Caenorhabditis elegans: one gene and its partner. The protein of the gene in region 1 purifies or fractionates together with the protein of each later gene. This does not show direct contact. Each region holds a gene or a part of one and is shown on either strand. Other genes may lie near its edges.

Evidence for each region.
Region 2: the proteins of E04F6.8 (region 1) and Y26E6A.3 fractionate together in Caenorhabditis elegans (co-fractionation; one large-scale study listed by BioGRID). This does not show direct contact.

What each region holds. Positions count from the first base shown.
Region 1 is NC_003280.10:7,204,918-7,220,632, reverse strand, and holds E04F6.8 (Cuticle protein), read left to right. Parts: upstream 1-9,252; 5' UTR 9,253-9,253; coding exon 9,254-9,340; intron 9,341-9,489; coding exon 9,490-9,714; intron 9,715-9,760; coding exon 9,761-9,835; 3' UTR 9,836-9,882; downstream 9,883-15,715. Other genes in the region: clh-3 (Chloride channel protein), read left to right, coding at 1-234, 284-500, 547-755, 810-901, 980-1,021, 1,225-1,329, 1,375-1,461, 1,594-1,791 and 2 more; E04F6.10 (uncharacterized protein), read left to right, coding at 3,676-3,759, 3,807-3,872, 5,646-5,798; E04F6.9 (Periplasmic protein), read left to right, coding at 8,477-8,560, 8,607-8,831, 8,876-8,953; E04F6.15 (DeHydrogenases, Short chain), read left to right, coding at 10,364-10,420, 10,550-10,809, 11,077-11,185, 11,236-11,769; dhs-7 (NAD(P)-binding protein), read left to right, coding at 12,446-12,502, 12,551-12,810, 12,889-12,997, 13,044-13,607; srd-59 (Serpentine receptor class delta-59), read right to left, coding at 13,741-13,904, 13,955-14,327, 14,462-14,599, 14,643-14,945; srd-58 (Serpentine Receptor, class D (delta)), read left to right, coding at 15,582-15,715.
Region 2 is NC_003284.9:13,900,978-13,917,486, forward strand, and holds Y26E6A.3 (Methyltransferase-like 26), read right to left. Parts: upstream 8,974-16,509; 5' UTR 8,910-8,973; coding exon 8,829-8,909; intron 8,752-8,828; coding exon 8,617-8,751; intron 8,336-8,616; coding exon 8,249-8,335; intron 8,201-8,248; coding exon 8,132-8,200; intron 7,960-8,131; coding exon 7,798-7,959; intron 7,677-7,797; coding exon 7,596-7,676; 3' UTR 7,394-7,595; downstream 1-7,393. Other genes in the region: sra-39 (Serpentine receptor class alpha-39), read right to left, coding at 87-386, 490-691, 737-924, 1,903-2,029, 2,076-2,230, 2,296-2,451; Y26E6A.2 (F-box domain-containing protein), read right to left, coding at 10,248-10,571, 10,937-11,395, 11,534-11,992; ekl-5 (E3 ubiquitin-protein ligase), read right to left, coding at 14,372-14,749, 14,790-14,942, 15,021-15,227, 15,295-15,395, 15,446-15,694, 15,919-16,192.

The DNA of each region.
Region 1 (15,715 bases):
ATGCTGTGGCTTCGTACCTTCAACCATCAATCTACGACAGCATAATTCGTATCAAAAATCTACCGTATCTCCCTGATATTCCCCATACAACGTCCCTTTATCATCAAATGCTCATTGAGCAGTTTATGATTTCTCCTCTTGTCTATATTGCAAAAGATTCAACAGTTGGTGACATCAAAAGAGCACTGGAAACAAAAACCCGGATCAGAGCTTTTCCTTTGGTTGAAAATATGGGTTAGTCACTTAGAATGTTTATATCCCATTATCATCAATACATCTTCAGAATCACTAGCTCTTGTCGGTTCGGTCAGTAGAAGTCAGCTGCAACGATACGTCGATTCTCAAATTGGAACAAAAGCCCGATTTGCAGAAGCAACTCGTAGAATCAAACAACGTTTGGAAGATGAAGAAAGCGAACGAAAAAGAAGAGAAGAAAGTAAATCAGATGATACAGAAGATAGTTTGGAAACGACAGGTGCTGGAGAGAGAAGAGCTAGTCGGTATGAAAACTTCTAAGTTTCAGTTAAAATCATGATTATTTTTCAGATTTTTGATTGTCCCTGTTGCTAAAAACGGACCTCAAGTAGCGAAAAATGAAACGCTGACTGGATTGAGCGAGGAAAATGCGCGGAAGATTCTAACTGTTGAGGAGAAGCAAGCGCTATTTGATGCTGCATCATTGGCAACTCCGAAACGAGAAATGAGTGGAAAAACAATCAATCCTGTGCATATTGAATCTCATCATACAATTGGAGGTTAGATTTCTTTTTTTACATTGTGTTAAAAATAACTTTTATTGTACTTTTCAGACATTTTCCGATCAATTACACATCTTAGTTTTGGGCGACAAAACTTTCCGAAGAAGAACAATCATAACGAGTTTGATTTATTTGGAGAAGAGGTTTTCATTTATAAAGTTTATCTTGAGTTTTATTCAAAATATCAAAATAATTCACCTGTGATGATTTAAACATTGCAGAATCAAAAAAGCATTAACGATGATCCAGATTTTATAGAAAATGTGAGACTATTTTTCCTTGCTCTTTCGATCTATAACTTTGGGTTGGATAACATATTCAGTTGTTAAAAACAGACTAATTGGTATTAGATAAAATATAGTTTAAAATAAATGCCAGGATTATTTATCAAAATTATTTGACTTACAGCTTATTAACAACGTTATTGTTATATTGGTCATGCTTGAAATTACAATACAATTTTCAGCGTACTGAATGGGAGGATATGATGCTCAATCAAAAGCTGGATTTGAGCCAACTTGATATTGATTCTACGCCATTCCAACTCAGTGAATATACGAGTTTATTCAAGGTTGGTTTTAAAGTTTTATCAATTCAAACATTCAGTATTTTTCAGGCTCATTCTCTATTCTCACTTCTTGGTCTAAATCGTGCATACGTGACGAAAAAAGGGCAATTGATTGGCGTTGTCGCATTAAAAGAGGTTTGCTTTTTAATTTCTCGAAAAAAATAGGCCCCCGCACCACGTCGATGGAAAAGTGTCGAATTTCGAAAAAAGAAGCAACGCATCCCCACTTTTCATCGGTCTAGAAACTTTAGATTATTCTCGTTACAGCTCCGACTTGCAATTGAATATTTACAATCTGGAAAAGTGCCAACACCTGGTATGAGCATTTTCAATGAGCCTCCAACGGAACAATCGATTTATGAGAAAAGTGCAAGACTAGAATCAGGACGAGCAACAGGCGATGCGCAGAATGCAGCCTTTGTGACAGACAATGGGGAAGATGATGCTCAAAATGATTATATTCAAGTGAGAAATTACAAAATTCAATATTTTTTCAATTTATGTCATTTCTTTTAATTTTAATCTTTTTTCAGCCACCTCTAGAAGTGGTAAGACGAGGGGCGTTAACCCCGAACCGAATGAGCGAATTGACAAGATTGGAGAATGTGAGAACAACACCAGAATCACCACATTTCGAAGTTAGTTCACCATCGACGAGCTCATCGTGTGTGAGCATAGATTTCTCACCATTGGATGCAGCGAATTCGGAAAATGGAAGTGTTGGAGGACTTGTATTGAATGTACCCTCCTTACCCACACGAGCAAGATCAGCAAATGAGTGAGTTTTACATAATGAAGAAAGTTGTTCTAGTGCTCATCCAGTTTCAGGCTAACACGACAAAATACCCACGTGCAAATAAATTTACCTGACGACGTTCATGACGAAAAATTCTGAGCAGGTGCCGTTCCTCTTGTGTCCCCTTGTTCATTCAACATACACCTAATCCAATATAATGCATATACCAGATTGAATTTTGTATCTCACACATTTTACGGGTATTTCAATTACTTTAAGTTTCACACCACAATTCTTCTTCTCCTCTTCCTCATCTCGTCTCAATTTTTCGCTTATTTTCTGATCGGGTCTTGTGTTGCACTTCCAACGTGTAAAAGTACGCATGTAAGAGGATACATTTTGCCGCCATTTTTGCGGGGACACTTTTCCCATTTCTTTCCCCCAGTTTAGCTCATCCCGTATTTTCAATTCCCATATATTTTATTTTTTTTGTTCATTTTCTTCAAGTCATAATAATTTTGTATTAAGTTTCCCCCCGGTTTCGTCCCCAAATTTTCTGTATTTATGTGTGAAGTTATATATATATATATATATATAGAAAAGAGTAAAGATTTTTATTGTTATGGAAGTGACTGGAAAAAATATATGCTGGTTGGAAGAACGTCAGCTGCAAAAAAAGAAAGAGCGCGAGAATTTTCGATGATTGTTGTTGTTTTTGGTATGGACTAATTTCCAGCTGACGAATTACTGATGAGCCGGAAAACCCAACAGGCTTTTGAATATACAATGGACTTTAGAGTAAGATTGATTGCATGGTTGGAATTTTTTTTTTTGCGAACTATTGTAAACTTAAAAGCTTCTAATTTACACATATCAGTTGTTCAAGAAAGTTCAATTTACCGTTGCATTTCAAAATTTTGAGAATACAAGTAATATTTTAGAACAATAAAAAATAGCACACAGTGGTGCCTGTAGGTAAGATGTGTAAATAAAAAAAAAGGTATTTTCAAAGACATGAACAAATTCCCGTAAACTGATTACAATCGGACAATTTCAAATTTATTGAATCTAAATAAAATATTAATACATTCTTTAAAAACATTGGCATTTATTTGTTTTACATCGTTTCTTGTACGCGTTTACATATAATTGAAAGTTCTGAAGTATTTTGTCTCCAAAAAAGATTTCAACAGAATCCTTAAGCTTTCTTGGATAGTATAAAGCAACTGTTAATATAACAACAACTTGTTGTCCTTTTTCTAAAAAAGTAGTATATTTATCCATAAAAAGGCTGACCAATTTTACGCGCACATATACCTTTACCTCTTCTGCTCTTCTCTCTAACACGTTCCGCCGTCTCTACCGCGTCTCCAAAGAGCAACACAAAAACTGGGCGGGGCTTTTGCTCTTTCACGCCACGTTGTGCTCCGCCGGCTCCCTTCCCGCCATCCTGCTCACTTATTTTTCGGTTCTTTCCATCTGAGTCCATCATCATCATCTTCTTCTTCAGTTTTGTTCCTTCTGTTCGTTGAAGGACCAGGTTTTAATCGCCCAGTTTCAGTTGAAAAGTTCAGTTTGTTTTCCAGGAAAAATACAAAATTAACCCAATCGTCATGGAACGTGAATTACGCCTCAAGGCGTTTATGGAAGAATATGCAAGAATTGTTCAGTTATTCGATGATATAGTTTCAATGAAGGTTTGAATTCTTTTTAATTTCACAAAAATTCAGAACAAAATTTTCAGGAATCAATGGGACGTCTTGAAAAATATATGATCATCATGGTGTGTCAAGTTCTTGTTGCTCTTATGGTGAGTTTAATGAAACTAATAATAATAATAATAATAGAGGTTTTGTCATCTAATATGTATGAAAGTGAATCAAGAATCTTAGAAAAAGGACTACGTTGAACTTTTGAAAATGCCTTCTATTAAGAATACAAACTCCTTTGTAACAATTTTCAAAATCTAGAGTAGTTAACTAGTTAATTGAAACTTGGACATGAAGCTTTAATTGAACAAAAGTAGTTGTTTAATTATTGAGATGCTAAAAATGGAGGAATTTTCTGCCCAACTTCGCCAACTTACTGTCAAACTTCTTGTTTGTTTCAACCACTTTTCTAACGTTTTGCAACTTCTCAGTAACAACGTGAAGTGTTAATAGTTTGTCAGATTGTTAGCACACTGTTGTCTTCAAATGTGAAATTCTTATCTATTTTCGAGGACACTGAAAAGTTGCAAAAACAAACGAGACTTCATGAATTTTGCAGTTTAAATTTTTTTCAATCCCTCGATGTTCTAACAAATATTTATAATCTTTGTCTTCTTATAGTCCAAATTTTTCCCAAAAATAACTCGGAAAGTGTAGTAATAAAACAAGTTGATATACGCGGAAATTGCGTCGGCTCGTTTCCGTAGCTTCTATTCTCATTCTTCTCACGCTTTACTCAATTCGTTCACCTACATCTGTTTTCTGTTGCATTTGATTTTTATTTTCAATTTTTTGCACACATTTTTTGACATCCGGAACCCACTTTCTTAATAATGTGTTTTTGTTCCTCACTTCATGATGATATAAGGCTCGTCGCTGGCGTTTCGAGAATTTGAAAAACGTACTAAATGGATCAAGGGCCGTCGGTGTGCTTCATGTGTGGCATAATTGGCACCTTGAGGCTCTCTTGATTGACTTGACACCATGGTGATACTAATTATAGGAAGGAGAGACCCTCTCCTATCACTTGCATTTCTTTGTTTTCAAAAAAAGAAAACTATAGTAGAAAAATGTGAAGAAAAAGTCGAAGAAGGACCACCTAGAAGAAGTCGTACATTAGGACCAAGCAACCGCACTTTTGATGACGGTGTTCACTCGAGTAGAAAACATTAAGCAATTGAAAATGACGGATTTGTTACGCCCCTCTTCAACTTATTCCTGATTCCATCTTTTATTTTAGGATACTTTGCAATTTGATTTGGGGAATGTTTGTAGAAAAGCATACACATAAATAAAGAGCTTCGGCAATTGGAAAGGAAGTTTAGCCTTCGAAAGTGAAAATATTGTCCAATTTTATTATGTTTTTTTAATTAAAATTGTACAACTTAGATTATATACTATGAAGAATATCATGCTTTGCCAAGATTGAACTAATTGAGTAAATCAAATGTGCACTCTGAATTAGTATAGTTGACAGCATCAGATCTTCTGCATATACACATTTGAGGTGTCAGTCAAATGTGTAATAATTTTTTTTGAAACTTCGTTTTCTTTATTCTTTTTCTTTTTCTTTTTTTCAAAATTTATTTCCCAATTGTCGAGCCAACAATCAAATTATGCCACAATCTCTGAGCATCAGCTGACAATTAATCATTTTGTGGTCGCTCTTGACACATCTTCCCCGCCGAAATATGTTTCTTCATTCATTGTATAACTTATAACAGGTGTCTTATTCTATTGCATTCCAACAACATTAGAAATGTAAAACCTAGTTTGATTAATGACTTGATGCTCCCCTCATCAATCAAGAAGAGAGATTACCAATAAGCTGCCACCATGCCATACACCAATTAATTCATTCTGTTCTTTTCCAGGGAGGAGCCATCTTCATGTGTATTCGGTTTTTTCAAAGCCAGCGACAACGTGGAGAATACGAATTGGAACATCGATTCGAAAGGGGTCCGTCTGGTCGCGTGCCGGTCGCTCAGGCAACCCATCAAAAAATCAACAAGAATCCCATCACGTAACGACTATGAGCCGATTGGCGAGTGTGTAGATGTTATTGAGACTGAGAGAACGGGTTTGGATGGATCGGTTCCTTCATTGGTTTCAGGTACTTTTGAAGTGATAGTTTAAATGTGGGAACAGAACAAATAAGCGTATAAACAAACAAATAATCCAAGTCTGAGAGTGAGAAGAAACGCAAAGTAACACTTATGAATAATAAGAAAGTCATTAGGAAACAATTTTCTCAGAACACAACATTCGTGTAATTCTAAAACACTGTGATATACTGTTTAACTAGGTTCGAGCGGGGAAACTGTGACCTACTGAACAAAACTTTCTAACTTCTTCCAACATTCATTTCAGGACCTTCCACATTTTTACATTTTCCTGCATCACCTGCCCCAACATATTCCTTTCGGGAAGATGATTGTCAGACCGATATTGAAATATCTGAAGATGACGATGATCCAACAATAACCCTATCCAATTGGCGTCATTCATCTCCAACTCTTTCAATTTGTACTCCAATTCTTACTACTCGTCGATCGACTTCTTATTCATCAATACCAACCATCGATCGTACGATTAGCGAAGACTCGATGCTGGTGATTAAACGTTTGTAGTTTTATTTCTTTAAGACAATTTATTTATTCAAAAACTCTTCATTCATTACGGGTAGATAAATTTTCTAGTTTTTCCATTCTATCAACATAGACCCAATGCTTCTTTCCTTTTCTTTTTACCGTACGATTTCCAAAACATTCTGCCAATTTGTCATTTGCTATATATTTCCTCCATAAATGTTTCCCTTTTTTCCTTCATCCCAATCCTTTTTTTTCTGGTAATAATAAATTCCTTTTCTGGGCAAAAAGCAACAAAATGTGAGCCAAAAAAGGCGACTGATGATAGATGGTGATGATTTGAATGTGACTGGAAGGAGGAGAAGAAGACGTCGAAAAAAGCGGCAAGCTAAGAAGAGTGATGGTGTACATGGGACGATGTGGAACAACTAATCCAGGAATGAAATGATAGTCAACCACTGACATGTTATTCACTTGAAAAAATAGTCCCTTAAAGGGAAATGATATGGTGAAGTTTAATAAAATTCCCCAGAATACTCCACTTTCAAAAAGTTTCAGGAAGTCTTATTGGATAATTCAAAATTCCTTCATGGCAAAGTTTTTATATATATTTGTAATGGATTGTGCAAACATGAATATTAACAGTTTTATTTATTTTGTTATCATTTTGTCATAGCCTAGGTCAATCTCGGTAGACGATAGGTTTTCAAAATAATCAAACAAATGCATCTGATTGTTTAACTTTTTGTACGTTTTTCATATACTCTGATGATTCAGATCAATTTGATCTTTTTAGAAGAATGTTCAAAATTTCCACACTTCGAAATCCTGTTTTCACAATTCATTTCATCCATTTTTATGAGTTGGAACGATAAGAAAAGAATCTTAACGATGAAAGTGTCAACTGTTGTTACTGACTCATTCACTTGTTGTGACGGAAACTGATCCGAAGGTCGGAAAATTTTCAAGAATAACACAAAGTTTGTAGAGTATAAAAAGAGCTGAAGAATCTGTAAGGCCTCAGCCTTTGAAACGTTATTCATTTAACTCACAGAACGTATATTTTATATCTGATGTTTAAATTTTTTATTATGCGTTGTAATATTCTGATAATAAGACCGTTTTTTTTTCTAGTCCTAAAAATTATTAGTCGCCTTCAAGTTCGCCTTCAAATTGATTGTTTTAAAACCTGTTTCAATCTTGAGCACACAATCTCGTCTTTTGTGAATTAGAAATAATAATTCATCAAAAATATAGAAGGTGTTTTTGATCAGTTAAAAAAATTCAAAAAAGAAAATTTCCGCTCTATTGATTTCTTACTTTCCATCACAACATAATTCAATTAAGATAGGGACTATAAAAGTTTGCTTGGCCACAAAATGGCATAAATCGGTTTCAGATAAGACACATTCGATTCACCTCTTTTCTTATTTACTAAACTCTTATTAGCGGTAAAGCTAACTACACATACACGTAATTTTTTTGAGGCATAATTATGTATTATCAGTAATTTTTGGAACTCTAAAGTACTCTAATTTATCAATTAAATTATCTTTCCAACTAAAAAACGACATATTAAAAATCGACTAAACATCCTGTAAACTTCACATCTATCAGTAAAAAAAGCTACGCGCCTCAAAACACGACCTTCTCAATCCCATCATTGTGAACTTTCATAGTGTTCTCACATTGATCTTAAGAACAAATAAACTTCCTGATTGTTCCATTTTCAATACTTCTCCAAATGACATTCTTTGAACAGTCTAAGGAAACGAATCCTCATTTTCTAGTTCCGTGTTCCAACTCTGTAGGATTTTTTGTATAACTCTGATAACAAGAAGGATATTTTCTCTCACTCTAGCCAACAAACAAATGATAAAAACAAAGTGATTGATTGCAAAGTGGGCTGGGCGTTTAGTTTAACCAGCGGAGGTGCTTACCCTATTTTTTTCATTCGAAGGCAGTATCTTCTGGCTGACGACACTATTTATTGTTGTTCCAAGAGAAAGGTTTCATCACTTTAAGATTTTGTGCTTTTTCTTTCAATTGTTCTTCTGAATTTCGTGTCAATTCACAAAACTTTTTTCATTCTTGAAAATTAAATAAAATTTCAGAAAATGAACCGCTTCATTCTTTCCGCTTTCCTCCTTGTTGCCATCTTTGCCATATCCGATGCTGCCGTTGCTCAACAGCAGGTTAAGGTTTGTTGTAACTCCTATTTGAAAAATAACAAAAAATCATTTTCAGGACGGAGAAAAAGTTGAAATCGATGCTTTCAAGGGAGCCAAGGCAATCAAGAGAACCGTTGCCGGTGGAGATCAAATCTTCCACCTTGACGGAGATAACAAGGGATCATTTGTTGATGCTAAGGGAAAGAAGATTGAGTCAACCAATTATGAAGCTAATAACGGAATCCTTATCATTAAGAAGTTCACCAAGGCCGATGTTGGAACCTACTCCGAGCACCCAGCTGTAAGTTTTCAGTGGGAGAAATAATTAGAAATGTTTTATTTCAGAAAAACACCGAAACCAAGCACGCTGATGGATCCATCTCCGCTGTTCCAGGACTCACTCTTGATATCTCCCTGCAATAAACAAATTTCATTCGGAATGTGTTCTAATAATTTCTCTAAATAAAATTTTTAAAACAATTTCGTGCAAACTTTGCAAAAATAAACAAAAATGTGAGTCAGAACAGAAATAGGCGTGACCTCTATTCAGTCAACAGGTGACCAATAAATCAAGTCTCATTCGTCACTATTTAATGGGTTCTAGAGATGTTTTCTTTCTTCATTCTTTTTTCTCTCAAAATCATCTGAGAAAACTTTGTTTCAGGAGCTTTTTGAATTGTTTTCAATAAAAGCTTTCCTTAAATTTTTTTTATCATTTTCAGAATGAGCCGGTTTTTGATTTCTTCGTTTATACTGATTGCCTTTGTTCTTCAGTTTGGAGAAGGATCAATTGCAGTTCAAGAAGTTAAGGTTTGTAAAGTTTTTTATCTGACAATAGTTTAAAAACTGTTGTTCATGCTTCTACAGGAAATTTTAAATGTATTTCTCAAAACTACTCGAAACTTCAAAAGTTTTCTTATTTTGAAATACCAAGTAGTATTTTACAAATTCCATTTTAGGATGGCGAAAAAGTGCAAATTGAACTTTTCAAAGGAGCCAAGGCAATCCAGAGATCCGTTGACGCTGGCGAACAGATTTTCCATTTCGAAGGAGAAAACAAAGGAGTGTTTGTGGATGCTAATGGAAAAGCTATTGACTCGTCAAATTATGAAGAGAATAACGGACATTTGGTCATCAAAAAGTTCACAAAAGCTGATGTTGGATCATATTCTGAATATCCAACGGTATTGAATTCCTGAAATTCCCGAATTGAAAAAGTATTAATTTCAGAAAATTATCAAAACGAAAACGGATCATGGATTTTCTGGAGTTGCCGCGCCAGTTCTCAAACTTTCTCTTCAATAACTTTTAAAAACTGTTTCAATAAATTCTTTTAAATAACAATAAATTGTTTGCAATATTTCGTAAAAACCTGTTTGAAGGAATTATTTAACCATTATTTGGAAAAGAAATTTGAATGTAGTAACTGTTTCACGCCCACAAAAAGTTCTGTTAAAATATCTCCAGAGCAAATTCCGCACTGATCTGTTAAATATTTTCTGTAACACTATTTCTATTTTTACTATTTTTTTCGGCTATTTAAAATTAAACCGCAAGACAAATAGGGAAATTAGTGTGATTTTTAATTCCAATAAGGCGAATCTTATAGTAAGTTTTTTTCTTATTCGAAAGTACTACTTTACTGATAAGAAAATGAAAAATCATTCAACTTGCATCGATCATTTTCCTCGTTTCACCTGAAAATATGACATGAATATAGAGATAAATATGTCAATTTAGCTACAGTTTTACCAATATTCATTGAACTTCACATCATAATTTCTCAATATAAAACAGGAAATTCAGAAACTCATCAATTTTTTCATTTTCAGAATGGTTGCTGATGGTAAGAGGAAACGGCAGTTTCATTCAAGAACAAATGCACTAGAAGTAAGCGTTCTTTTAGTATTAAATGTTTCATCAATTTCCTAAATTTAAGTTTTAAAAATTCGATGATGTCCTACTCCCTAGTGTTTTTAATCTGTTTCAAATTCTTGCTATAATTGAATCCGTTTTCAGGTATTGGATGGTATTGACCTTTCTGGTAAAACATTTGCAATTACTGGAACAACATCTGGGATCGGAGTTGAGACTGCTAAAGCATTGATTTTAAAAGGAGCTCACGTTGTAATGATAAACAGGAATTATACAGCATCTGAAGCATCGAAGAAATCTCTCCTAATTGAAACTCCAAATGCTCAAATTGATATTGTTCAATGTGATTTGAATTCACTATCATCTGTGAAGAAGGCAGCAGATGAATACTTAGAACAGAAATGGTAAGCGATAAAGTTGATACATTTAAAAACTTAAAATGATCTAAAGAGTTCCGAAAAACCGAAGTTAGAAATGGAGAAATATTTTGGTGTCTCTATATTCAAATTTTCTCTGAGACAAGACGGGTTTTAATCAGAGATCTAAAATTTTAGTGAAATTTTGAAAACCCATGTTAAGTTATTTCCGTTTTAAACTAATATCCTCCAAACTCATCACTTAAATATTGTATTTTATTAATCCTGCCTCCCTTATCTTTGATCTATTCTTAGGCCACTCCATGGATTAATTTTGAATGCTGGAGTTTTTGGTCCAAGTGAAAAAACAACATCCGATGGATTTGAAGCTCATTTTGGAATCAATCATCTTGCTCATTTTATTGTATGATTTTTTACAAAAAAAACCCGATCTTAACTGAATTATTCTTGCAGTTAATTAAGGAGCTTCTGCCAGTTCTTCGAGAATCAGCACCATCAAGAATTGTAATAGTTACATCAATGCTCAGCAAGCATACATGCGTCAAACCTGATTCCAGAATTGTGGAAAAGCTTGACACACTTTGTCCAAAAGAAGCAACTCAATGGTATTTCCGCCTGTATGCAAAATCAAAAATGTGTAACATTCTAACCGCATTCAAATTGCATCGAGATGAATTTAAAAATAGAATAAGTGTTTATGCAGTTCATCCAGGATCTGGAGTTCGCACAGATCTTCATAGAGATTTTGGTTTATGGAGCATTGCTGACTTTCTATCAATCCCATTTACAAAGAATGCAAGCCAGGGAGCAGCAACAAGTCTTTATTGTGCAGTACATCCTGAAGTGAAAGAACTGTCCGGAAAGTATTGGGAATCGTGTTGGGATGATGAAAAGAATTTGGACAAAAAAGTTTCAAGAGACGAAGAACTTCAAGAAGCTTTATGGGAACATTCAGAAAAACTTATCATGAAGTATTTGGACTCATAAAGTTAGATTTTAATTATCGATAACTTTTCTTGAAACATTGCTCAAAATAAAATTTTATTTATTTTTTCGCCTTTTAGAGAAAAAGAGGAGATATTTACAACTTTAAACTCTTCATATTTCTCTAAGCTAATTTTTTTTAAACTTGAGGTAATATTTTAAATACGAGTCTCGCTATAATAATAAAAATTCAGCCAATTGAAATATAAAAGTTAAAAAAAAAATATATTTCCTATTTAATTATACCTTCGACACCAGTTTCGGGTTCCAAAAAATTGGTACCTGAAACGAAAATTTTCGCTTTCTCAAAATTGCTTACTATCTATTTCATTTTCATCACAAAGTAAGGAGCAAATATTTATGGACTCAATTTATTGAGTTATCAACAAAATACTGATAACCAAAACGTAATGTACATTTTTTTGAGTAAAAAACCATTTCGTTGAAATCTTCTGTTAACAAAGATAAAAATCTTGTCTATTTTTCCATTTCATTTTTTTAAAAGAAAGCAAACCACAAATCATACATGCTTCACGTATCTCTCCGTCTCTTGACTACACACACTCTCTAGTTATTTGCCACCTTTTTGTTCGTGACTTTCTAATCTCTCCATACTATTTTTGAGCATAAAAAGACACTAACTGATTATTTTCCAACATTTTCGTTCTCGCCCCAAAAAATGCCTACCGAAAAAGGGCGAACTAGGAAATTTTACTCAAGAACTTATGCTCTGGAGGTGAGTTTTTTAAAAAGTTTCGGAACAATTTTTTTTCCAATTTTACAGACAATAAAAGGTGTCAACCTAGCTGGAAAAACATTTGTGGTTACTGGAACAACTTCAGGAATTGGAATTGAAACTGCTAGATCGTTGTCTTTAAATGGTGCACATGTTGTTATGCTCAATAGAAACTTGGAAGAATCGGAGAAATTGAAAAAGAAGATTGTTGAAGAGATGAATGATGCCGAAATTGATATTATTGAGTGTGATCTTAATTCGTTGCATTCTGTGAAAAAGGCGGCAGAAGTTTATATTTCAAAGAAATGGTAAGTTTTCAATCATTTTCTGCAGCAAGTTGCTCCAGAGATTTTAAATTCCAACAGTATTTAGTGAACTTATTTCAGGTCGATTCATTGTTTAATCCTAAACGCTGGAGTCTTTGGAACTGCGTCAAAAACTACAGTCGACGGTTTGGAATCACATTTTGCCATCAATCATCTTTCTCATTTTTTGGTAAATCAAAAATTCCAGCAATCTTCTATAAAAAAACATTTTTAAGTTAATCCAAGAACTACTTCCAATTGTTCGACAGTCGATTCCTTCTAGAATTGTTTTGGTATCTTCATCAGTTCATGCAACATGTGGAGTTTCTCCTGAAATGTCTATAGAGGAGAAGTTGAAGATTCTGTGCCCAGAGAGTTCATCAGATGCTTCATGGTTCCGACTATATTCTCGATCAAAAATGTGCAATATGTTGGTTGCATTCAAACTTCACAGAGATGAATATCACAACGGAATCAGCACATATTCAGTTCATCCAGGAAATGGGGTTAGGACGAGCATATTCCGAGATTCATGGCTTGTAAGCATTGCGAGTATTCTATCAACTCCATTTACAAAAAATATAAGTCAAGGAGCATCTACAACAGTTTACTGTGCTGGACACCCAGAAGTTGCAAATGTTTCTGGAAAGTATTGGGATTCAAATTGGGATGATGAGAAAGGTTTATACGAAGAAGTTGCAAGAGATGAACAATTACAAGATGCTTTATGGAAACATTCTGATAAAATATTAGATAATATGTTGAATGATAGGAAAAAGTCATGTCAATTTGAATGCTGATTTACTATTTATTGAATGAAACCATTTATATAAAAATCATGAAGGTCACCATTGAAATTATGATCCTCCGAGGACAAAGTACAGGGTATAATATACATTCCCACGTTTTTAACAGAAAAATGCAGATCATATTTTAATTGAAGCCGGAAGTTGAATTGCTGGTGACTGTGGTGATTCGCTGTTGACGTTTTGGAAGTACCCATTCAATAATTGCCTGTCGGTATGGAACAATGAAATAAAACGAGATGAATGGATCAAGGAGAGCTGGGAATGCAGATGACACTAATATCAGGTGTTCTTGAATTTTGAATTATTTATTTCAAAACACCTCTAGATAATATACTCACCACAAATCAAGAGTTCTCTTCCAGTAGATTGAGTATAAATATAACCAGAAAATGATGGAATGTAGGAAATGAATGGAAGCATTGATTGAACGATTAATCCATGAATTAGAGTTTGTGCTTGTTTTTTAGTTCTTTCCGACATATGACTATGATAACGAATCAAAATTAAAACTTTTCGAGTCAGAATGAGACAGCCGATCGGAATTCCGTATGCACCAATTGATAGGAGAAGGGTGGCTGACAGAAACTGAGGACTTCCAGCATTTGAAAATCCCGAGTACGGATAGTAAATGGACAGGTTATAGGAAGGATGCTCCAGGGCTGTGGATGCCTGGGCAGATTCAAAGTCCCATTTATCAGTAAATGGAATTATCTGAAAGTTTTATATATTTCATAGTTTGGGCTTGCTAGAAGTGAATGTAAAAAAAACAAAAAGTGAAAACCATCACTTTTCATGAAACGCTTAAAGTGAAGTCTTAACGTCTGAAAATTTGACAAATCACGTACCAATACTACAAGTGGGGCAATATAAGATGCCAACACCATTATATACGTTTGATTTGTATGTACTTGATTTTGTACAAGAACGAAAAAACGGAAGAGAACAGTTATAGCAATTGCACTTCCAGCTCCAAAACTTGTGGCCTGGAAATCACTTAATCTGCTGTAAAAATAAATTTAAATTTACCATGAAAACGTGATAATTTATGAAGCACGTTGTCGGGCTAACATAACTGCATGGACCCAATGATAGAACAGCTGCACTGATGCTGTTTGTAAGTAATCTGTGTTGAGATAGGAATGCAAATGTTATCAAAGCAATCTGTACACAAGATGTGTTGTACAAAAAGATTTTGAGACCATCGAGTGTTGCTGGTGATTTATGAGAAATCAAATGGAGTAGAATAGTCTGAAATATGATAGCGAGAACTCCACAGAATGGCCAGTACCAGTTGAAAAATGGCACGTAACAATTGGAGTTTGAGCACATTCCAACTGACGAGTTTTGAGAATGAATTTGAAAAGTATAGAAGCAATTTTTGAAGTTTCATATAGTTCCCACGACATTTCGTCAAAATTCTTAATGCTCAAGAGACTGGAAAGAGTCTTTTCTGAGTTTTGATGCATAATCGAGCAAAGCCTGCTGAAAACTTGAGTATGTTTGAAATACGAAAATCGAAGAAACGAATGAGAAAATTATATCCAGGGTTTGAAATTCAAAACGTTCTCAATTTAAATAATAAAACCGTATTGTCATTGCAGGTGAGAATCAGCTTTATTTCAATAATTACTTCATTAAGGTGAAATTATCGAAACTTCTGTAAGTTAAGCCTACTAAAAGGGGTCCATCTGGCTTTGGAATTTTCGTAGGTCAGACGGCAAAAAATATAGGAATTCACCGCCAACTTCTTGCGTAAGTTCAGAAAAGGTCTTACCCAACTTTGAATGTAGTGATACACTCACCAAACTCTGTCCAGACTTCACCTAAACTTTCGCCCAAGTTTTGGCAGCTTCTGAACCATTCTCTTGAAAATGACCAAATGTCGTGAGAACAATATGAGATTTAAAAAATTGCTGTTATACTTCTCATTTTCATTCTCATTCTCAACATCGTCAGCTGGCTGAAATGTGCTCAAATTCCAATTGTTACGTGTCATTTTTCAACTGGTACTGGCCATTCTGTGGAGTTTCCGCTATAATATTTCAGATTATTCTACTCTATTTGATATCTCATAAATCACCGGCAACACTCGATGGTCT
Region 2 (16,509 bases), on another chromosome or scaffold:
TTTACCTTTATTTTAGAAATTCAGAAATCAATGTGTTTCAAATTATTTAAATGCAACAGACAAAAATTGAAAAAAACACACACACATCAAGACGGTGAGGGCGGTATTGAAATTACTGCAACAGTTGTCTGCCGTTTTTTGAACTTTGTTATTAAAGTGGAAGACGTCCAATTTGCCGATAGTGGCTTCCGATTAGCTCTTGCTTGAGCTTTTAACCGTGACTGAAAATGGACGTCCCAATTTTCCATGGCAATATGAAACTGATCATCGAGAGGGACATCTTGACTAGCCATCATATCTTTGTGAATTCGGTCTTGCCTCTTTTTTCCTAACCATAGTTCGACAAGTATAAGGGAAGTAAACATGAAAGGCATGTGAGGCATTATCTGGAAATAAAAAAGTTTAGCAGATTTGAACAGTTTTAGGTTTATTACAAATTTAACACTGAAATCAATAATTGTACATTTTCCCTGTTGTTTAACAACTTACAAACAGATTCGCAGCAATTATTTCATACCAGTTTGGCGGTAAATAATCTTTGTATAACCGGAAAACGGAAACAATGAAGATGTATACCCCAATCGTAACGTTCGACAATATTAGTAACGGAGTCACTTGCTTCAATGTTTTCACATTCTCATTACGCTGGAACTGTTCTGACAAGGAAGTAGAGCCGTGTTTATCGATGTTTCTGAATAACAATTGTTACATAAGGCTCAGAGGGGTTTGGACTTACTTGTTGTATCGATATAAGACCAGGTGAACTATTGAAATAACAGCATCTAATAGGAGTTGAACAAAGAACATTACATATACGCGAGAACCGATAGACTTGGAAGCGGAAAATGTAAGACATGTCGTTATCATTTCTTCTCCATCTTCTGGTAGCAAAAGTATAAAAATTGCAGTGGCAGCTACGGCAACCTGGAAAAGTTCAACGAGTTAAAAATGTCAAAAAGGTGTTGTGGTATCAAATTTGCAATTTCCAAAAACTAATTTAAAAAATATAAGCTCTCAGCGTTTTCTCTCTTACTAGGGAATGACCAGAATAAGTGGAGCGATATTCAAAAAAAAAATTGTATCGGAAAGCTGACATTCTCTACTATAAGAATATGACTGAAATTTTTGCCCATTCTGATTCTGATGCCGTATCAAGACGTTTTACCAAATCGATATTGGAAAAGCACCTTGTTTTTGAGACTCCATATCTCTGCAGGGAAAATCGCACCAAAAAGTGATCAACTGAAAACTTGTTAAACACAATGTGATCTGAAACTTTTCAGTTGAACACTTTCTTGTAAAAAATTTGGTTGCCAAGATATAGACCTTTAACTATTTAGAATATTCAAAAATAATGAAGCTCAAATCAATTGGTCCCAACTCGGCAACCAAATTTTTTAAAGAAAGTGTTTTACTGAAAAGTTTCAGATCACATTATGTTTAACAAGTTTCTAGTTGATCACTTTTTAGTGCGATTTTTTCCTGCAGAGATATGGAGTCTCAAAGACAAGGTGTTTTTCCAATATCGATTTGGTAAAACGTCTTGATACGGCATCAGAATCAGTGATTCGGTCATTGAAAACAATGAAAAATAAGTTATTTGTGACACTCTACATTATTTCATACATTTTTGAAAAAATTTCAAAAAAAATTTTTGGATCAAATTTTCTCATGGGTTTGATGGAGAAAAAAGTGGCAATTTTCTAAAAAATAAAAATTTCTGAAAAGTTTCCAGCCCGAATGGGCAAAAATTTCAGTCATATTCTTATAGTAGAGAATGTCAGCTTTCCGATACAATATTTTTTTTTGAATATCGCTCCACTTATTCTGGTCATTCCCTAGTTAGAGGAATTTTGACTATTCCAATGATTATGAAATGTAAACAGTTTAAGAAATTCTCACCGCAACAATTGCTAAAATAGTTCCGAGTGCTCTTCCCTGTCGCTCATAATTTTTGACACTGTAAGTTGCCCATGATCTTTCCAGCAAAATTCCAGCGTGACTTGTAGTCACCAAACAAAATGCAAATCTAAGAATCAAGGTTTTGATTGATAGCTTTTTTTTACATCACGTACAGAAAAGTTCCGCGAATTTTGGAACAAAAGTAGGTTTTTAGAAGCAAGTCGCAAGGAGATGGCTTGATCATAAGATTAAGGAAAAAGTTGGTTGCGCTCCAAGCTGTGAGTCCTCCGAGCAGCAGACAAGATACCACGTTGAGCATCATCAGGAACTGAAATTAATAAGTTAGTATAAACTATTATGAAAAAAAAAATTTCTTTAAAAAGTATCACTTACTACTAGATTTGGATGATAATAAACTTTAAAAGCATACTTTTTGAGTATGATAAATAAAATAGGAAACGTTAGATAACCTGAGGTACCTTGAAAAATAATAGCAAATAAATACGCTGGATGATAATATAATTGACCTCTCGTCTCGCATCCCTCCATTGCTGAAACTTTACAATTCAGTTGCAATAGAACAAAGGTACTTAGAGCTCAAATCAGAACTAAAAGGTAATTTTGATCACGTCAACAGCTCCTAAAAAAGAAAATTAATTGAATGAAGTCGACGTGCTTAATCTTGAATATCTACCGCCGAACATGCACTTTTATCTGCAGAAGCTCTTAAAATCTCACCTGGATCGGTGTAGCGACTAGTCACGTTTTCCATCACCGACTGGAATTTCAAGAAGTGTCTTGGACTATTCACGTGTACACCCAAAGCTAAATGTACAATTTTTTGGGAATATAAATTAAGAATAAGGGTATAAACAATGCGGCATGAAAACATTCGTCATTTCAAATATTAAAATGTTAAAATGTTAAGATAATAGTTAGTTTGCAGTGAGGCGAATTTCGTTTTTGAAAAAATGATGTTGTGAAGAATTTTAGAACACCATTCAACAAGAGAGAAGTAACTATAATAATACGTTAACTTTTACATTTGCAATAAAAACTTATTTATCTAAACATGTCAAAAACTGAAATTCGAAATGTGAAAGTTAAGGAATGGACTGCCCAATTTATAGAGGTATACGGTAATTGTTAACTATCAATTTAATTCACAATTTGTAAACTTTGAAGTGTTAACAAAGGCGTTGTTGAAAAAACTAGATTTGTGAGTACTTTAACACTATTTCAACCACATTTTTACATTGATCAGCTAAACATTTTATCTGGCCTGAAATTTAAATGTTGAGACATAAAATTGCCACTTGCAATATGCAATTAAAATTTGCTTCCCATTTTGTGAAACATGGAGAACCGCCACATAATTTTTTCCGTCGACGTACTTGTGCCAGGTGTATTTAACAATTTTTGTGTTGTGAGGTGTTAAACCAGAAATGTCGATTCGATAGTCCAAATCAGATTTGTTAAACAGAATGGTTGCCCCTTTAAAAAAAGGTTTGTTCTCCCACGTTTTTTTTGGACGCTGCACATTGTGCTTGCGCCTAATGACTAATGTAAGAATTGTACTAACCTATGATAGAAATTCATGGGAGAAGCACTTGTCATGGGAGTTTTAACACATTCAAATGATGTTTGGAACATTTTTAGTTGTTGATATTTTAAAACCGTTTTTCCGTCTTACAGTCTTCGAGCTTCCAGTAAACACGAAAATTTTAAAAAAATCGTGAGCTTAAATTTCAGTGTATGAAAATATAGCTACAGGTTTTAAGATGGCGCATCTCATGAAAAAATTGAAAAATATTGAATTTCAGTAACTTGGAAATATTCTGTCTCCTTAAAAATAAATTTAAATTCACATGTTTTAATTATTTTTTAAATAACGAGCACACTCATTTCCAAGTAAAAATCGTTCTTATTTTAAACAAATTCAAAGGGGCGGAAACCGGAAATTAAATGGTAGAAAAACTTAAAAAAGATTCGGAAATTACAGTTACAGTTTCAAGTAATCTTGTTGGCTCTAACAATCCTACGGGTCTATTTCTCAATGGAAAATAGTCTTGCCAGATCCATATTTACCTTGATTTCTGATATTATTCAAATGATCAAAACAGCAAAACAAAATTAAAATCTGACAAGTGTCAGTAGTCAATCAGTGGACAATAATATTTTCTTAATGTTCTCTATGTTGTCTATGGTTCCATGAACCAGCAACAATTTAAAATTGCAATAAATAGTGTGTTATGAAAATTTGATTAAATTCTGCCCGATATATTTAGGGTAGCAAAAAAGAAATAATAACATATGTGGTCAGTGAAAGTTCTAAATGGGTAATTTCTGGGATGTACTGACTACTAGAAGAAAGCGGGTGATTTTTCAATACAGGAAAACAGAATGCACATTGTGCTTTATGTTTAATGTCATGGAGAAAAAAGTAAAATATTTACAATCAGATATTCTAAAGAAGTGAATTCAATCTATAATATACTGAATGGTTTTTTCTAGCCCCTTTCTTTTTAATTCATTATACCTAGATCAATTTCCGGAGTGAATGTTTTTCACTGTATATCAGAGTTTTTGAAGTGACTATAAAAATAGTTGCGCTTGTGATAAACATATTTTTGAAGACGGTGAAACCAATGTGGTATCTGAATCTACTAACAGATTCCAATTGAAAATCAGAAAGATTAATCAAATCTTGTTTTGGGAAAGTCTCTTTTATACGTAGTATGCCACCTTCACAACAAAGAAAGTTGAGAATTCCTCATCATGGGTTTTATTGGAATTCAAGAAAATATTTTTCGAAGTCTTCTTGAGACTTGTACAATAAACAGATCAATAAAAAATTGCCCAATCTAAAATTTTAGTGACATCAATTTATGAATTTTTTTCTACTCATATTAACTGGGTATGTTTTCTGAATTATCAGTTTGCTTTCAAATTTTCTAAATTTTGTAAAAATTGATGTTTGGATAAGACAACTTACGTGGGAAAACATTCAGAAACTATGAAAAGTTTTGTCTTGAATGACGGGCTTGGGAATTTACCTGGTACATTTGAGTTATCTGATAGTGAGAACAAGTGTAGCTAAAAACTTTGTTGATGAATCATTATGTTTTTTTTTGTAAAACAGCTAACGTAAAATTGAACTAACAAAAGCAGAGACAATTAAAGCGTATCAGGTAATTACTTTTGATCAACACTAAAATATTTACAATAAAATGCAAATAAAAAAGTTTGAAAATGAAATTATTTGGCTAATGTACTTAAATTATTTAACTAAAACAGTTTGAGGCTTCATTATAAAAAACCTTTTTTTCAATTTTGTTTCGAATTTGAGATTTTATTGATAGAGTGAGAATACAATATACTATTGCATTGTTGGTAGCCATTGAAAAATCTGATTCATGAAACATTGCGAGTTTGAAAAGTACCTAAAATACGTTCAGGATTAATAAAATAAATGTTGTCTAAGTTGTTAATTGTCATAAAATATGGAAACAATATGTACGTTTAACGCGTGGTTTCGTGATTTGAAAAAAAAACATCTGCAATTTTGTAATCATCTTGAACTAGTTCTTATTCTGCATTCCTGCAAAACAGGGTCAAAAACTAATACTTCGGTTTTTCATCTAACTCTAGCAATTTGAGTTAATTTTGATGCAGCTGAGGTGCTAACCCCCAACTTAACAGACTTTGCCCATCTTCAGCAATTTTTGCGATTGGCAACTTCAAAGTTGCTAAAGTTGGTAGAGAAATTACCGCAAAGCACAAAATTTTATACTACAAGAGTACATTTTGAATACCACATCACTACGGTAAGAAAATTCAATCTTTGAAAAATACCTAAATTTGATCTCAATCAAAAATACAAATATTCAAAGATTTCATAGAGGCACATTAAACGTGATTGGGTCACAAATGAGACGTGTATCAAAATTGCTACCACTTTTCTACTAAAAAAAAACCAAACAAAAAGGGAAAGCTCACCTTTCACGATGAGATATTTTATCAGTAAGAATCTTTCATATACAGTTGATGGGGTATAGACACGTTTTTTTTTTAAATTTTACACTTTCCAAAGTTTATGGTTGGTTGAACTTTTCACTTTGACATCTAATAAGTGTAAAACAGAACGCCTGGGGTTTTGCACAAAATTCGTATTTATGTACCGATGTTTATTCATGTATGATTCATGTATGATGTATGATTCTGAATCCGATGAGACATAGCTCAATTTTGTCGAAGACGGTAAAAAACCCGTAGGCTACAACATTTAAAAGAAGGATTTAGTTTTTGAGCTGCCGAAACTTCACAAATTAGCTGGAACATCAATTCAGAAATACACAGAAAAACTACTTACCATCTCCAATATCGAAGGTGCTCATTAATGTAGCTTCAATATTCGACACAAATCACGCTGGGAAACCAAGAATTCCAATTTTCCGGCTGTTGAACTTTTTGTTGATCTCCTAGCAGATGTTTTAACTGGAAAATTGCCTATAAACATTTGTTGTATACTTGTTACAAATCACACAAACTGAAAAAAAAACCAGAAGTTTCCACGCACTTGTAATATGAATATTGAAATCAATTGTTTTTTAATGCATCAAGAAACTTTTTTAGCAGCTTGCACACAAATAAATGAAATTCAAATTTAAAAGAAAAGCTGATCGTAAATAAAATGAAGTAAATAAATATAAAAATACTTTTTATTGTTGAGCGCTATTTTTTCTTAGATTGATTTTTTGATCTTACTCGAGCGACATTGAAATGTTCATACTTTTAAGCTAAAAGGATTATTACCCGTTTGTGCGATTTCTGGTCAGATCAGATAAACCAGACAAAGTTTTACTTGTCACAAAATGATAGATGATAAAACTTTAAAAAAAAATAATGAAACGCTTAAAAATAAAAAAATAAAAATCACACGCGCAAACTATTTGGTGATAGCAAATCGAAACATACAAACAAGCAAAATTAGTAATTGTGCTTAGATGCTGCTGGGTTCAGCTGCAATTTTAAATTCAGCAGAACGAACAAAATCTATTTCTGTAATGCCAATCAAATATTCTTAAAGCATTAAAATATCCGTACAATCACCCATATAGTCAATCTTTTCTTAATTCCAGAGTTTTTTTAAATTTTTTTTTTTAAGTTTTTTTTTTAATTTGACATCCGCGCACTTCTTTTTGAAATGTCTAGTTCCACTGTTATAGAATGACTTCACATTAACACCAAGAATCGGCTCTGCTCACTAGACCAGAAATAACTGCGTCAAAGAAACATAACATGAAGGTGGCAAAACACCTGCTTCAATACTTGAAACGTTTCTTGAGGAAGTTCGAAAATGGTTTCTTGAAAAGAGTAATTATTTTCCAATAGGTAAAATATTTGAATAAAATTTTTAAATAGCAATTTGGAATCCATTTCAAAAAGACAACTGTTAATATCGACTTCAACCTGAAAATGGAGAAATTAATTACACTTGAAAATGCTTTAAAATCATCATATATCATAGAATATTGAAATCAAACATGCTTTATATTATATTAAAGAGCGTAATATTGCAAATATTATTTGCAGTTAAAAGGAGTTATCAAGGCCATGCATCGCTGAAAATCTAGCGTATTACAAGTATTACAAGTACAGGAGAACAGATTGAAAATAAAAAGTACAAGCGTTTAACGGGAAAAGATCAAAATGAAATTATTCTTCGGAACTGTAATCTTTTCGGCAAGACGGAGGTTCGAACTGTTTGCAAGCTGAAAATTCAATATGTTATAAACTATGAATTTATATTTAAATTCTCGAAAAAAATTCTGACTAAGCGTTCAGTTTCATGGTAATAAAACCGAGATTAACTTTAAAAAAAAATCTCCTTACCCTCTCCAGATATTTGATATCCTTGAGGCCATGTTCCGGATCTTCAGCTTTCAGATTTGTATGAAATGCGATGTTTGATTGTGGTGAAATGTGTCCATCCTCTGCATATGGTCCATAAGTCATGAGGATTCCGTTCGTCTCGTGAAGAAGCAAGTCGGCAGACTGTAAAAAAGGTTAAATTAGTTCAGAAGTGTTTGAATTTGATGTGATAAAATTTGTTTTTATTTCAAAATTATTTGCAACTTGAAGAAAAAATTCAGTCCCATTGAAATTTATCCTACTATTTTTGAAATTCGTATTTCACCTTTGACATTTATCAAAAAAAAAAACTTACTTGAAAAAGGCCTTTAACTGCAGCCGTGGAGCAAATGTGAATCATGTTGATATTGAGAACAATGTCGACCTGAAAAAAAACGAAGTTATTTTCCAATATAGTCTGGAAACAATTTACCATATGAGGTCCGAAATCCGCAGGAAGAGCCCATTGATTGAATGGTTTTGCAACGTCGATGAAGAGGGGGATGCGGACGTTTGGAAACTGAAAAATATTACTTTATGGTTACAAAAACATAAAGTTGAGTTTTCATAAAAAGTTGTAAAAAAAGAGAAATCAAAAATTAGTTTAGAATTATTGTTCACCCCAACAGTCTGGAGTGTGGTTTTTTGTTAAAACATTCTGTCAATTGCTGGCAATTAAAATTTTTTAAAGGTTTTTCAACAGGAGTGTGGAAAAATGCAGTCATTTTAATTCAAGTATTATCTCTTTTTTGCTATTGTGAAAAGTGGAAATTTGGGCAGGGCAACTAACTGCTGACTAACCTGACTTTGATCCAAATAAGAAACGATGGAATGGAGGTATCGACCATTAACTTCAGTCGGTTGAAAAGTGACATCCGGCAGAGCCCGTGCAAAATGTTCCATATGCTGTCCAGTTCCAGAAGCTAGCTCGAACACCTGAAAAAAAAAAATATATATATATCGTTAATGTTTTCATTTTAAAAAAATGTGAAACACATTTTTTAAAAACTTACTTTCTTTCCAGATGTTGCGAATCTTCTCAACACCTCCAAAATCACATCCTTGTTCGATTCGGCAGCTGGCGCTCTCAACATCACCAATCGCTGCAACTACGTTCAATTGTTATTTGATTCAAAATGTGAAACAGTCAGTGGTAAAAGAGAAAGGTACGCGCGCGCACTTTTTATAGGGTTTATAACAGTTTGAGATAGATGCTAACCAGAATGAAGAGACTGGTAAGAGAGAAAACAAAAAAAAACAACAGAAGATTGGAATACCAGAAATCGATAGTTGTTGTTTGTGTGGGAAAAAAGGAGGAATGGCAAGTGTTATGCATGGGAAGAAGAGCGAACGAACGGCAAAAAGTTAAGTACAGTGTAAATGCGCAAAAGGCAGATTAAAAGAGGAATAGCAAAAAAAAACGGTTAAAAGAGAGAAAAAAGAAACTAAAAAGAGATTTTGTTTACAAAACTGTGAAAAAAATGAGAGTGCAAAAGTTACACGTGTCCTGCCAGCCAAAGCGAGCTGCAAGCCTTGCCACGTATAAGGCCAGAGAAAGTAGGGCATCAATGTTTTGTTTTGTTTTTCGTGAAATTTTTGTTTTTCTTAATAATTTTCAACTTTTAGAAGTATTTTAAAAGGTTTCAAATATTAAATGGAAACTAATTCAGCTGAAAATTTTAGTAATAAGACAAAAATTAAAAGAGCGCGTTTTCTGCGAGTTTTTTTAGATCTTGCTTTTTTATATACTTTAATTTGAACCTAAATATTTTTATCAATTTCCTAGAAAAATCAAATCTCGACATTATATAGTAAAACAAAACTCAAAACGAATATATAAAATTTCAAAAGAAAAAATCAAATTCATCTGAAATCAGCACTCGCAGAACGCTGAAATTAATTTGTTCTAATTATAAACTTATTAGGCATATTTCTATTTTTACTTCTTGTTTTTTAATCGATTTAGGCACATGTTAAGCCGGTTGGCATACTATAGGTGGTACATATTTGGTTGTTTGAGGCCATTTTTGTTATACCACAGTATTAACCCATAAATGTTACTTTGCGGTAAATGTATCACGCTTTAGATTTTTTTACTACTGAAAATGCATGACGAAAACCAATCTACAAAAAGTGTACCAAAGTTTATTGTTTCATCAACATGAATGACTGGATAATAGATTTGCTTGGGAATTGGAGATTTGACAAAACAAAACAATAACTTAGAAGTGGAATGAGCTGTGTGAAAAAAAAACCGGGTTGGAGTCTAATAGTTTTTGAGATGAACAAGAATTAGTGACAACAAATATTACAAAAAACTGTTATAAAAAACTATAGAAAAATTGTTATATAGAAAATTTTAGGGAATGTAAGAAATAAATAATTTTCTCATAAAAGTAGATTAGTTGGTTTCATTTTCGCTAAGAATCATGTTAATTAGTCTCGTGAAAAACGTATTCGGTTATTTCTCCATGTGGCATTTGTGATGAGTTGAGCTCACTGATAAACTCCAAATACCCCTTTCGGAAGGAAGTCTTCGGCCGATGACGTCTACCAAAGGGTGTTTGGAAGATGGTGAATTGTTTCAGAATTACCCATCTACCAACTTCTCGGTGTCCATTATCCCAATCACGAAGAGCTTTTCGGAATGTGTCGATATTGTTGAGAGCACAATTGATGTTGACAAAATGCTTCGCAGAAAAGAGCCGTTCTCCGTGATCCCTGTTGAGAGTGTCGCGGATGGATATGGTTTTGATCTGAAAATTTGTATTGCTTCTACATAACACTTGTTTATTTTAAATTTATTTTTAAATTAAAATGTAGAGTATTTTCAGTAGGGAAATTATTTAAATCAGCTCATGAAGTACTAAATTGCCTTGATGTAATTGTAAAAAATTATTTTTAAAAACTTGAAAGTTTGCAATTATGGTCAAAAAAATTGGAAGTCGGCCAAAAAAAATCTATACTTTTAAAATTGAATTGCGTCTCAGTTATTGCATTTAAAACTTTTAGGGGATATTGGAATTTTTATTAACTTATTGCATGATCCTACTTTTTTGGAACGCTCTTTAAACCATAACACGAAAAATTCAAATTTTCTCAAATTCTAAGTACAACTCACATCTGGGAACGGAATGAAGTCGTCAGTTAGTGCGTTCACTTCAATCTCCACAACTTCTTTGTCAAACATTTCCACCATCATTTTCAAATTCTCCGTGTACTCGAAACCCTTGACAATGATTCTTTTAAATGTTCTGGATCCAACGAAGTTGTGCACAGCTTCACAGTATTCCGGTTCGAAATCATCAGTGGTGACAATTTTTAAAATAGTTGTGTTACGCAGCAGCTGGGTTTTCTTCTTCTCGTTGACTTCGGATTGATTCAAGCATTTTTCAGAGTCTGGATCGCTTTCATTTTCTTGTTGATTTTTCTCCAATATCCATCGGACATTCATCTCGCCACTGGAGAAGTCAAGAATCAAAATGACATCTGGGAGCACCATTTTCAGACTATTCTGTCGGTAAATGTTATTGGCAGCACTGCACGTGATTGCTAGACTTTGAGCGTCTTTGTAAGCCGACTGAAAATTTTTTTTAATCTTAGGAATCATCCGGTTGGAAGTGCATCTGCTCAAAAAGTGTTTAACGTTGTTTTTTTGAAAAGGAGAGATTCAGATTTTTTTATTTTTAGAAGTATTTTCCCAGAATTGAAAACTTACTCGTTGCATGATCTGCTCTATCATCTCCGGAGGAAGTTTTAAGAGATCGAACAATTTCACATCATCTTGCTCGATGTGCTTGGTTTCCACATTTTTACTTTTCGGCCGGAAGAAGTTGTCACGAGAGATCAGATGAGAGAACACATTCATTTTTGTAAGCCTAAGATGCTCTGCCATCGTAAAGTCGCAGAGATGAATAGCATCAGTGAGAAATGTGAATCCACCAACTCTCAACGCACTGCTGCATTTTTCCGTTAGAGTTTCACCTTGAAGTTGCTCAATTAGGCACCTATAACGTGTGGGCCCGTTGAATATTGAACGGATTTCTTCAACGGTCCATGTATTGAGAAGGATCTCCATGTCCTCCTTCATACGGTTCATTTCATTGTTGACACGATCTTTTGCATCGGGGAAGAATGGAACGGCCCGAAACAATTCCAGGATGTCTAGGTCGGCCATGTTCTTTTTCTGAAAAATTGAATGTTAGAACATATTGAACGCTCGTTAATAGTAAAGAAAAGTTTATTGGAAGTACATATATTTGCATGTAAGTGGGATTTCTACGTGTTTCATTCTAGTTCACTCTCAGTAATTTTTAAAATAAATGTAGAGGGATATATGTGTATGTACTATGTGTATTGTTTAAGACTAAACTGGAACTTTCTTACACGCCAGAAAAGCTAAGACCAGCCACACAAAAACAGCTAATAATGTAATATGAAAACCTCATAAAAATGTTCATCAATAGCATATTCTACTAACTTGTGTTTTCATGCGACCAGTAGAAAAAGAAACAGGAGAATATGGAGTAGACATAAAATTTTTAATAATTATAGGCATTGAGAATAAACCAAAAGTTGAATAATTTTTTTAACCTGAGTTCAGAAATTTAACTATCATGTGATTATGATAGTGAGAGTATTTAATTTCATTCCGTTCACTGGACATCAGAAAAAAGAGAAAAAGCCAAACGAATACTATAACAAAAGGACAAATTTAGAACTACTCTGAAATGTCACAAGGACAAGTGCAATAAAATAATTAATATGTATATTTTGTCATTTTTAAATTGACATGCTATAGGCTAAAAAATGAAACGGAGAAATGCCAGCAGCGGAAAAATTTAGTTCAAGAAGCCAGCGTCCAATTCAATTTCCCGAATTCATTATTCTCCGAGGGAGAAAAAAATTAAAGCCAGAAAAAAAAAACGAGAAGGGCGCGAGCACTGAGCACACGAAGTTAATGGAATAGCGAGAGAGATCTAGAGAGAAAGATAAGCAACGGTGCAATGCAGTGGCTGGCTCCGAATCAGGCTTCACATTCACACAGAGAGCCCTTCGTGCCAGGCAGTGCTAGCCAGCTTTTCTGGAAAAGTAGATGACGAGGGCATGGCGAGGACAGTTGAAAAGAGAAAAACAGAAAAAATAGAGCCGGCAGCTTAGTCAGTGAGTTTTTTTTTTTTTGATAGAAAAGAGTATTGGACTTGATGATCTGGTGCTTAATAAATGTATCATTAGGTAAAAATTTGTTATAAGAATAAATTTTAATAAATGTGACTTTCTTGGCATGCTGATTTTAGCATGTTTTCACAACATCAGTAATAATTAGGCAAAGCCTATATCTATCGTTTTGATGAAGTGGTTTAAAACTTACATAATCATTATGTTAGGAAATACTTACAATTGAAATGAAATGAAGGACACAATATGCTTACCTATAGTCGTTCTAGAGGTCGTCCCTCTATTTTTTTTTTCACAAATACTTACTTGTAATTCTGAATAAGTTTCGCTGTTTTATCTATTTTCCAAACGTTGTTATCACGGTTTGACCTTGTTGCTATAATTTCTTGTCACCCTGTATAATACATACAACCTAAAAAAGAGTTTTCACATAAAGAACGCATAAAACATATTTTGAGGAACAGATCAATAGGATGTCGCAGTTTCTCGTCTACAAGATCTCTTCGAAAACGAAGAGAAACGACGGAAATGCACAAAAAAGTGGCTCAAGTGGTGAAGAGTGCATATCGAGGTGCGCGGACCTTTCAAAGTGCAACCGAGCGCTTTTGCAGCTACATTGAGTGACGTGTGAACTCGAAGACGAGGAACTAAGAAAAGTTGATTTCTTTGTGGCCGCATTCGCTTGAAGTTTTTGATAATATTTGTTATAGATTTCAATTAACATGCTTTGGTAGATCAGGTGCTACTTATCTTCAGAATGATAGTGCATTAGACAAACTCAGTTTTAAATAATGTTTGGCAAGTTACATACTCCTGAAATGAAGAATGTCATTTTCCCATCAAAAATTTATGTATTTGAAAAATCACATGGAGAAAGAATTCACGCCGGGAAATGGACTTACAGTGGGAAACAGTGAGAAACAGGGTCAGAAATGGCAAACAATTTTTGAAAACAATCACGGTCAAGATATTGAAATCAATAGTTCGAGTGAAATAAATAAAATAATGTTAAGCTTCGGGTTGATATGAAACAAAGTACAGGGAAAAAGTGACAAGTATTTGGATATTTGGAATTCACTCACAAGAGATCGTGAATCCTGTATGAAATGAAAACATGAAATGACAAAATTTGGATTGTGAGAGAATATAAATTACACTGAAGAAATGATGTCACAGATGAACTTTGGGAAGAGATGGCGAAAAATATTGCAAGGAATAAACGTGATAAGTTATGTAAATTACAACCATAGAAAAAAGAGAAGTACCAAGACGAATAACTGTTGGCGTATTGAACTCCTATTTGTATTTGAATGAGAAGAGTGTTTAATGAATATAATTCAAGACTTGAATGATTGGTAGTATGGATATTGAAAACAAATCAAATGATTCCGAGTTGCAAGAATTCCTCAGCCTGTACCACCGCATTGATGTCTTCTTCATCGTCCTCAATTTCTTCGGCCTCTCCCTCAAGCGGAACTTGACCACGGATAGGATCAATGCAGTGAACTCTTCTCAGCTGAATGATGCGAGCAAGACGCGGGCTGTTTTTCAGCTCTTCAATACAGGCAAGCATTTTGTCCATGAACAAGCCAATAAGTTTGGTAACCTCAGTTCGATGGCTGCGATACTTCACCAAATGCTTCTCAATGGTTTCTTCCAAGTACTTGTTCTTTTCCAATTGCTGCTCTTCAACGGTATCCTTGCGAAATTCGTACCAAGTCCCATGGCGTCTGTTTTGAGTTTCCTGAAGCTCGTCCTGATCGGATTTACAAACGAATAATTTTAGTTCAACTTACAAAGTCTGTAGGTCCATCTTCAATGCAATCTTGGATGGAGTCAAAGTGAGCGGTGTGCTTCGAAATAATTTCGCCGAGTCCGTCTTCTTTCGTGAGTTCTAGAAACTGCTCGAAATGTGCCATAACGGTCTTTTCGATCTTATTGGCATGAATCTGGAATTAGTTGAAAATTGAAGGATGCTAGAGAGTTTGTCAGCTCTTATGCACTTATATATAGACACAAAAACCCACTTGATACACATCTCTTTGCATGTTTGGCATACATGCACCAAGCAAATGCTCGGCACAAGTTATGCAACCTGCACACTCCATGTGTTCCAATCTTTCCGGATTGACTCTTGCCTCAAAATATTCGAGTTCAAGTCTCTCTCTCAACTTGTACAACTGTTGACGAAGGCTGTAGGTGCTGGACAAGAAATGGTGGTATTCCATATCTTTCTAAAATCAAAAAATTAGAAAGCTATTAAGTAAATAAAAAAAAAATCATTCGGGAAAAAATAATCACCATAATTTTGCATGCTCCTTTGCTTGCAGCGCAGGTATCCAAGTGGTTAAGAAATGCAACATTGTGGACGCTACTCTTGCAAATCCCGCACATGAATGATTCTGGAAAGTTAGACATTGATATTGCACTCCTTCATTCAAATTCAACTCACGTCTTTGCTCTCTTCTAGCCACCCGAATGTAATTCTCTGGTGCTAAGTGACGGGCCATCCTTGCCAGATTTTGATTCGCAAGTTGTGCATCATGTGGGTCCAAGGCGATCAATCGTGGAAATAAATTGGCAAACTCAAGGACTTGGGGATCTTGGCGAACATCACGTCGATTTGGAACTTCTTCATCATCGAAATCAATGCCATTGATCTCATCCAAAGCCTCGAGAACTGCAGCATCAGGTTGTAGCGCTGGAAATAAATTAACTGTTTTTTTTAGTTTTCAAACATAAATTTTTATTAGAAACCCCATTTTTTGTTCTTCGGGCGTTCAGATGGTTGAGGTAAATTTTGAATAACTCCTCAAATATTGGCATTCAAAACTAAATTGATCTAACTCATTGTGCAAGATTACGCACCTCTTCCAAAGCCGAGGACATTTCTTATAGCATTTCCAACCATATCAATAATATTACCCTGTCTCGCATTGTTAGCTCTAGCTAGAGCTTCACGTGCCCGAGCACGTCCAAGTTGTGCGCGTCCAGCAGCAGGGCCACCACGTTCACGTGCAGCCTGAGCGCCACGATCCGCTTGAAGTCTTCTGTTAGCTCTTGCTCTCTCGAACATCTCACGATGACGACGTGCATGATTTCTCAAATTATGATTACGAGCTTGAGGAATATCGGCAGCCTGATCGCGCAATTCTTCTTCATTAGCCTGCTCTTCTGGATTGTTTGCAACAGGCAGCATATCTGAAAAATTCAAGTTTGTGAGAGAATCAAGAAGTTGCTCAAGAAAGTGCTTTCACGGTGTGATACACTTTACGACGTTTAGAAAAAAATTTTAGAAAACTTTTCAAAAATTAGTGGAAAGAACCAAGTTAACAGTAGTCAAAGTGGGGTAATGCGGTGTACGACTTATGAAACTAGCGTAACAGTGAAATTTTGTTAAATTAAAACGTATTCTCAAAAAAAGATACTCCTAAATGCCACGTACCTTGAAAACATGGAAAATGAAAACAAATAAAAAAACAACAATGACGAGAACATCGGAGAGCGGCGAGAGAA